Linked DNA regions of Drosophila melanogaster. The protein of the gene in region 1 interacts with the protein of each later gene in a pairwise test. Each region holds a gene or a part of one and is shown on either strand. Other genes may lie near its edges.

Region 1 (4,960 bases):
CTTTTCAGTTTACACAAAACTTGAACCAATTCAAGCATTTTCTCGCCTAACTTTACAGCTGCTGGAAAACTTTTATTTTGCGGCCATTTCGGTTTTCCAAAACCGAAAGTGCCGCCCAAAACGACCCACTCACAATGTAAAACACCACATTCAAAAGGGCAAATTCCAAAAGCACTAGAGAGATTAACGGCCCACGGAAAACTTGGCACTTCGGACTTGGCCAGATGTCCAATGGGCCGATACTGGGCGACGTGGGTGTGCGGATTGGAAAGGGCTTTGGTCTGTGGCCCAGAGATTTAAATCGGATATCCATCCATAGGCATACAATGTCTCAATCGCCACGCACATTGACACATTTTTCAATGGCACTAAAACTGTATAATGGGGCCGTACAACGCATTTAATGTCGGCCCACACACACAGGCCAATTCCGATCGGTTTGAGCCAAGTGCACACAAATTTGGTGGGACTTGTGGCCGGACTGTGAAACTTGGCCAGGTGAGGTCCGGTGGTGGGAGTCTGCTTTCCAATGGAACGACCAATCCGATGTCCATCCACAACTTTGGCCACAACTTTAAACTTTCACGTCTCATTTTGGTGTATGCTGGTTTCAAAAATCGGATCTTGCCCCATGCCTGCCGTTGGCTAGATGTGCCGCCCCAGAAATTTTGGGTTCCGATGGGGAAGACTGTTGCAATGAAGTGATCCTCATACATATATGTATATCAAAATATTGTTGAAGACACAGGCAACACACAATAAGTTCACCGATCCACTGGCATTAAGTGTTGTAATAGTGGAAGGACCTAAATGTGAACAGAACACGAGTAAAATTTTAGAATAAAAGTAGCTTTGTAGACTTAAAAGATTGTTTTATTTTGATACACTTTATCGATAATTAATTATTTTTAGTACGCAATATCTTAATACTGCGTTGAATTTTTGTGAAATTCGCCAACCACACGGAAGCCAGCGAAAAATGTCTTTCGCGATGGAAAGTAAAAGTTGTCGCCGGCCTAGGGTCGCTTATATGGTGCGTCCATCGAAACGCTCGCGAATGCCAATTTTCCCACATACATTTCGCGTTTTGCAGCAGAGTTAACCAAGTTAACACCAACATTTGGCCAGTACGAGTTCGGGGGCTCATTTGCATGGTGTTTTGGACTTGGGGCCCAGATGCCAGCCCCCGCATATGTCCGGCGAAACAAAATGCCGCTTGGTTCTAATCTGCCAGCAATTTCCGTGCGCAATTAATGCCTCCACAGCGCAGTGTCTTAATTAATTCAAAATCAACGCCAACGCGCCAAATTGTGGCCCACCCAGCTACCAGGTGGCAACGCTGAATGTTGTTAGTCAATTAATGCATTAACTAGCCTCCATTTGGAAGAATATTAATGGCCCACCTTTGTATTTAGTTGCTATTAACTTATTTGGCCATTTATTAACTTTTATACTCGCACTTTTGGCTAAAATATGTGTAATATGTTAACCAGCTGCGCAACTCTGTTTGTGCGGAGTGGCAACGCTGATGGGTGATCTCGCATGCTGGCAGTAGGGTGCGAGAGAGCCAAGTCAGAGAGAAACTGACGTCACAAGATGGGTATTGGCGTATTTTTTATGGAAATGGTTATGCAAATATTGACTAAACGTCACCGAGTAGTTAAAAGCACTGATATATTAGAAATTAGTTAATTTAGATCAAAAATACCCCCAAATATATAACCAAATATTGGCTTTTAAATATTTATTAAAAGCAATCGCACTTTGTGACGTCACTGGGCGAGAGAGCAGAGAAACGAGAGCACATTGAAACCACCACCCCACGATCGAACTGGCATGATCTCACACTTACAACGTTTTGTGCTCTTCGCTTCGCATTCAGTTTCTTTTTCTCTTTCTTTGCGCACGGTTCAGTGGTAGGAAAATTAGGAGGAATCGTTCAGTAAAGTCCCGAGATCCGTTCGCTATTCCCCGACTCGAATAAAATCCATATACACATATATCAAATAAACAAAGGATAGGAGTCCTCAGAGAAGAAAAGTGTGTTTAAAAAAAATACTTTCCAAACAAAACGAAATGAATAAAATCCAAAGCCATCCAGTAGCAACAACAAATACATAATCAGCAACTGTGCATATTTCTGCGAGTTTTCTTGCATTTTTAAATCGGTTAAGTGGCCTTGTGCACTCGGTACATCTCCAGGCAAAGGAATTTATACCTTTGTATCTTCAAAACGTAGAAATTTGAATATAAAATTTATTTAAATACTTTTTTGTTGTACTTGCTGTTGCAGCAGCCAAATGAGCGAGGGTGAGAGAGAGAGGCAGCTATTTTGACATTCTGCTTTCATTCATCTCCGTCGCATATACAGTTTTACTGTTTATTGTCCGTGTGTGAGTGAGCGATCGCCGAGGAATTTTCTGCCTTCGCTTTCGACTTGCTGCGCTCTCTCGCTCTCTCAGTATCTCTCGCCCTGCATTGTTGTTGCTGCCGATCGGAAAAAATACTTTTGGGCGGAGTTGTTTTCATTTCGTTTTCCGTTTTTAATATCGCTCGCGTACGAAACTTAATGAATTTCCCAACTCCCACAGTAACGTGTTAAAAGTAGCAAAAACAAATAAAAAAGAAGTGTGCACCAAGTAAAGAAAGCAGAGACCCAAGGAAAGTTGAAAGTTGAAAACCAGAATCTCGTCGAGAACAAAACAAAAAGTTCCCAAAAACCCACACATCACACACGCACGCAACAAAATGAGTGTCTGTGAGAGCAAAGCCGTTGTGCAACAGCAACTGCAGCAGCACTTGCAGCAACAGGCAGCCGCAGCAGTTGTTGCGGTCGCGCAACAGCAGCAGGCTCAAGCCCAAGCCCAGGCTCAGGCTCAGGCACAGCAGCAGCAACAGGCGCCGCAGGTGGTGGTCCCCATGACCCCGCAGCACTTGACCCCACAGCAGCAGCAGCAGAGCACACAGAGCATCGCCGACTATCTGGCCCAGTTGCTCAAGGACCGCAAGCAACTGGCCGCCTTCCCCAACGTCTTCACCCACGTCGAACGCCTGCTGGACGAAGGTAAGTCGCTAAAACTCAAACCGAGTGAGATCCCTCCAAGTCACAGCATCATCCTAATCCCGGATCCAAGACTCAGCGGAAGGATAACGATCACTAGCTAGCCTTTTCTGAATCAAACGATAAACCCAGTTACTGTTTGTTATTGTGATAATATCCTTTTATTCATCAAACACTTTACAGTACCATTAGGAAATTGTTATATATAATAAATGTGATGAAATGTGGTGAAAGAAGAAATTTGGATATTCTTGTTATAATGTTCAGATATTTAACTCTAGAATGTATTAGAACTTTGTGTTTGTATTCCAAAAATTCATGAAAAGAACATTAAACTATTGTAGTATACAAATCGATGCCATTACAGTTTGGTTTATATCTTTTTTAATTGTTCAAAAAATATTTGCAAAGCACTTTAATTCCGAGAATCTGGCGGGATTTATTGTAAACATGTATTACAGAGACTGTAGGTATTTAGAACACATTTGGGTAAATGGGAGAGTTTAAATGAGTATATATGTTATTTTAAAGTGGTGACTTCATTTTCAATCGTGTGTGCCAGGCGTGTTAATGATTAGGGTGCCTCTAACCAAGTGATCACTGTAGTTCAATCAGTTTTGGGGCATGGATCTCTGGGTGTCTGGTTTGTCTCCTCGGCGTCTCCTTTTCGGCATCTTCTCCATCGCGGGTTCTGAGTTCATTCCACCTTACAAACCGAAACGAGATGTTTGTTATTTTTAGTTACTTCCTTTTTGTGCGCCTCTTCGCGGAGCGCACACTACTTACACCTCTCTCCGGGCTCTCTCCTTTTGTATTCTTGGCTCCACACTTGACTGCCAGTGCAGCCTTTGTTGTTCTCATTATGAATTCTTTGTTGACTCGGCCATTCGTAAACCAAAAAGGAGGGAGGCTTGGATTTTGAGAGACGCAGAAGGAGATGCGAAACCCCAGGGGGGGAACCCCCAACAAAGATAGAAACATTAATGTGGTGTGGTATTATGTGATAAGAGATCATTTTATTCACAAGCATGTATGAATTTATACATATGCTAAAAGTTTTAAAATTTTCGAATCTGGAATATTATTGGATCCATTTAATGATCTGCTTTGCTCTGTGCACTGAACGTGTAGCAAACTTATCTGAAAGAGGAAAAATGTACCTCAACTGCCCACGCTTTGCCTCGAAAACCAAAAAAATCAAAAAAAAAGAAAATATGAATAAATATACGGCAACGAAGCAAAAACTCTTAAAGGCAAGCCAACAAAAGTCAACTTTCGGGGCGGGATAGGGGCGGTATAGGGGCAGGGGCGTGGCACTACCTGGTCGCATCTTGTATCTTGTATCTGGCATATCGGAGCTCTCGTTTCTGTATTTGCCCAACATCTGTTGCCCATATGCAGGCCGGCCAAGAGGGTGTGTGTCGCCTCGTAATGACAAAATTATGTTGCACAGATACACAGATTCAGATACTGGTGCGGTATTTGCGGATTGCAAGGTACCGCTAGATGGCCAGAGTACACTTATTATGTACAGCGTATGTTTGGATTACTTTAATATACGTTTTTTTTTACCATATTGCTTAATCAATTTGTTTATAATTGCTACTACAATTTAAATTACATTTAATTATTGCAATTAAACTTGAAATGTGATAGCAAATGGTCTGTATAATAAGATGCAAGATCTTGATTTCTCTCTTCATTTGGAAAATATCCAAGAAGTCGGTGGTCTTATCTAGACCAATCAGATTATTGATTACCAGGTACCAGGAGGTATCGCACTGTCGGAAAACTCGCCCAAAAGCTTATATTCTTGTTTTGGTTTCGTCTCGGCATAACTGCAAACTAGTTTGCCTGTCTACAAATTGTATTTGCTAAAAGCAAAGCGTTGACAATTTG
Region 2 (3,932 bases), about 12 Mb from region 1:
TTCACTGAAATTTAATACAATGATTTATGTATATCTTCGAAAGTAATCCCATAAATCATGTTTGCAAATGATAGGCTTCTTTGGAAACACTTCTCATTATGATTTAATCTGGTGGTAATCACTATCACTAGTTAGACATTTTTAAGGCAGATTTTCTCCGAGTGTACTGTTGCACCCAGCAAGACGTTTATCGCCTTATCACACAGGAGAGCCCAACTTTTGACCATATGGTCAATGCGATCTACGGCGGCCAATAAATGATTATCACGACGATTTTATTAGCCAATTGTGCCACTGAATCAGTGGAAATAAATTAATAGACTTTCGGTGCAAAAAGGAACGTCACAAATGACTGTATATAAATAAATACGCTTGAATATCTAATCGGCGGTGCCCAGAAATGTGTTAATCTTCAGCCTGATTGTGCACTGAGTACACTGGAATTCGTGACGTAGCCAAGGTAAACAAATGGTCTTATCTGTGCAAGAGTTTTGTGGTTTATTATTTGGCAAACAAGTGGAAATATTCAGTCGGCCGAAACGGCTGGAGTTGCGTACATCGTCGGCTTAAAGGGGGTTCGTCCAGTCCAACAGATATCCGTCCATCTGTGCTGCAGTGGCTCCCTTCCGGATTTTACAGCTCACGACGAAGCAGGTGATCGGTTCGTTCTGCGCATCGTTCAACGTGACAGTGACATCCGCCGTTATTTCCGGGAACGAAGGCTCCACATAGAAGTTGAACTGATACGTGACATCCTCGTCCTTGTCGATGGGACAGATGGCACCGTACAGGAGATTGCGGCACACATCGGACACTTCGTCGGGTAGGGCATATGGCAGATTCATGCCCAAAACCTTTGCCGTTGTGGTGGCCGTAATGCTCTTGATATTGTTGTTATCTGCAAGACATCGATGATGAGATTCAAGTGGACACGGATATAGATGGCCGAAACTTACTGCCCAGGAAGTGCACCTCCATGACTGCTATGGTTCCTTTGTACACAACGCACGGCGGTTCCTCGCAATCCTTAATATTCACATCCAGTGGAAACGGCTTATTTTTGCCTGAAAGCGGAAATATGTTTTCGAAGAATCAAAAGGTGAGCTCAAAAGAAGGCTATGTTTTTTTTTCTAAGAGATTAGCTGTTTGTTGATAAGCCATATCAACCTGGCCAACAGATACACGTTAGGACTTTAAATTTCTCTCAGAACGTATTTTTGGCAATAGTTTTCGAGACAAAGTCTGCGAAGTGAATCATCGTCATAGAAATCTGTTAGAATCATGAATCCAATCTAACAAACTGGTCGATTTAAAATGATTTGATGTTTTTCCAACAAAATAAAAGAGTTTTTAGCTACTTACACTGCTGGACATTGGTGGCATTGACTGTGGCCAGAATTAGAGCCAAAGTTACAACGATTCGCAGCATTTTTCTGGATGGAATCTTTTTTAATCTTACTTCAGAAGAATACAATATACATTGAGTACGCGCGCACGCAGATGACAATCGTGAGTGGAATCGATGGGGCTGGTGGAGAACCTTAAATAGCCCCGTGTTCGAACGATGACCAACGCCTGTAGAGAGCAGTTTATCAAAATCGGTGGCTATTGCCATTGATACGGGGCCGCCACGCAGGTGTTACAAAAGAAAACCACTGTGGCCTGCAGGTGTTGCGCTCTGACGAAGAGCAAACAATGCCGATTCGAATCAGTAAATAACGTAAATTTGGCTGATAAGTAGGGAGAGGCTGAACTACAATGTTGCCGGCTATACCTAGTAAACAAAACAGCCAGAGGGTGAATATGTAAGCAAGGCGGAATATTGGCTCGAAGGGTTAATAAACATATAATTTAAGGTTTGATCGAGCAATCAAATTTAAAAAAGCGGCCGATTAATTTCCTATCGATCGTGATTGAAGACTTTGTGTCATCGAAGACTGCACATCTCTAACTATGGCCGTTCAAAACATAAAATGTAAACAAAAGTCATTCAAGCACAATCTGACCAAAATCAAATATAATGGAAAGTAACGAAGATGTAGAGCGCCTTCTGTGTCAAAAGTATCCTGGTCTGGCAGCGGAGCTTCAGCCAAGTGGAGCGTGCATCATCAGAGGAGTTTTGGGCAGTGAGGTAAGTTATCCGTATTTCAATTTTTCCCGCCAAACTAATAATGATTGTATAATTAAGGATACATGGCGCCGCCTTAAACTCTATCTGCCACACCACCCAGCTCTTCATGGTTTCCAGCTCTACGTCCAGGAAAGCTTGGAGTACAAGCTGTACACATCGGCTAATCTCAAGTTACAGGACGATTGGCTGCTGGAGGATTTTCTGGACCATTTGCCAAAGATTCTTCCTGCCCAAAAAGCCCCAACAGTGCCAAAGGAACTATGTCGGGAGGGGAACATATATTACGATATCCTGGCCTTGTACAAGTCAAACGAGTACTGCCTGCAAGTGGACGAGGCCTGTTCCATGATTCGTTTCAGCGAATTCACCGACTTCGAGCAGCATTATCTGGAGCTTAAGATCCCGTCTCTTCTCTTGCTTGATCACAGTTTGCCCGACTGCGTATCGCTGGGTGAAATGCTGACCAAGAGTGCTGGAAACCTAGAGGAGGCCCTAAACCTCTTTCGCAAGCTTCTCGAGGATCTGCGTCCCTTCTACGACAACTTCATGGATATCGACGAGCTTTGTCATGTGCTGCAACCATCGCCCATCAGCAGCAAACACAAAACACGACTGTTCCCTCTCAAGGATCGCGTCTACTTGAAGCTGACCATCGCGGATCCCTTTGCCTGCATTGCATCCATGTCGCTAAAGATCATTGGGCCCACGGAAGAGGTGGCCCGCCTGCGCCACGTTCTCAGCGATGGTCTAAGTAACTGGGACTCCGAAATGAACATTCACAAGAACCTACTCCGAATGTTCGACTTGTGCTACTTTCCCATGCCAGACTGGTCGGATGGACCCAAGCTGGATGAAGAGGACAACGAAGAGCTGCGCTGTAACATTTGCTTTGCCTATCGCCTGGATGGTGGCGAGGTGCCCCTCGTCTCCTGCGACAATGCCAAATGTGTGCTAAAGTGCCATGCCGTCTGTTTGGAGGAGTGGTTTAAGACTCTGATGGATGGCAAGACCTTTCTGGAGGTCTCCTTCGGCCAGTGTCCCTTCTGCAAGGCGGTAATATTGCCTATCATTTCATCTATTGCCAATGTACAACTGCTTTATCTTTTTCAGAAGCTGTCCACCTCATTTGCGGCACTTTTAAATGATTGAAATTTGTAACCATAATATTAAAAGCAAATATTTAAGAGTAACTTATTATTCAAATAATCGTAAATATCAATTAGGTTTACATCCACGCCATCAAACGCCGTGTGTTTTTGCTAAAAGTAGTTGTGAAACGAATTAAACAGGTCCCACCTGATGGACCGCATCATTCTCCTGACGACGCCAGCAGCAGAGTTGACATCTGAAAAATCGCTTCACAACGCGCCAGCCTCATTCCATATCGCTTGAGATCATCCGCATCATATTCCGCACCACATAGGTGGTTCCATTGAAGGGCGAGTACTCGCTGGCTTTTCCAATCCGCACGCTGGAGCCGGCCAAACCGAAAAACACCTTGGGTGTTAGGTTGGGATGCACGGCCTTGAACTCCCACCCGACGTGCTGGGCGCAGAACTTGCACAGAATAATGTGCCACTGATAGCCGGGGAACCAGCTAAACTTTGTGGACGGCTCGCCGCTGTAGCCGATGGCATGGGATATCACCCGGTACACGGTGTTTGTCTCGTGGATGTAGCCCTCTGTAAAGTAGTTAGTTTCAGTGAATTCATTGCTTATAGAAGACGGACATTGGACTTCTCCTTATGCTTACCTGGATTGCAATACTGTGTCTGCACACCGTGTTTGGACATGGCAAAGA

Evidence for each region.
Region 2: the proteins of how (region 1) and Fancl interact in a two-hybrid assay, tested with the Drosophila melanogaster proteins (one large-scale study listed by BioGRID).

What each region holds. Positions count from the first base shown.
Region 1 is NT_033777.3:22,040,316-22,045,275, forward strand, and holds the start of how (held out wings), read left to right. Parts: upstream 1-1,875; 5' UTR 1,876-2,040; intron 2,041-2,591; 5' UTR 2,592-2,748; coding exon 2,749-3,064; intron 3,065-4,960. UniProt on the Drosophila melanogaster protein: RNA-binding protein involved in muscle development and dosage compensation. Vital role in steroid regulation of muscle development and to control heart rate.
Region 2 is NT_033777.3:10,050,895-10,054,826, reverse strand, and holds Fancl (fancl), read left to right. Parts: upstream 1-1,957; 5' UTR 1,958-2,020; coding exon 2,021-2,131; intron 2,132-2,188; coding exon 2,189-3,184; intron 3,185-3,241; coding exon 3,242-3,280; 3' UTR 3,281-3,319; downstream 3,320-3,932. Other genes in the region: Npc2e (Niemann-Pick type C-2e), read right to left, coding at 567-898, 957-1,064, 1,363-1,429; ohgt (ohgata), read right to left, coding at 3,506-3,813, 3,885-3,932. UniProt on the Drosophila melanogaster protein: Ubiquitin ligase protein that mediates monoubiquitination of Fancd2. Ubiquitination of Fancd2 is stimulated by ionising radiation.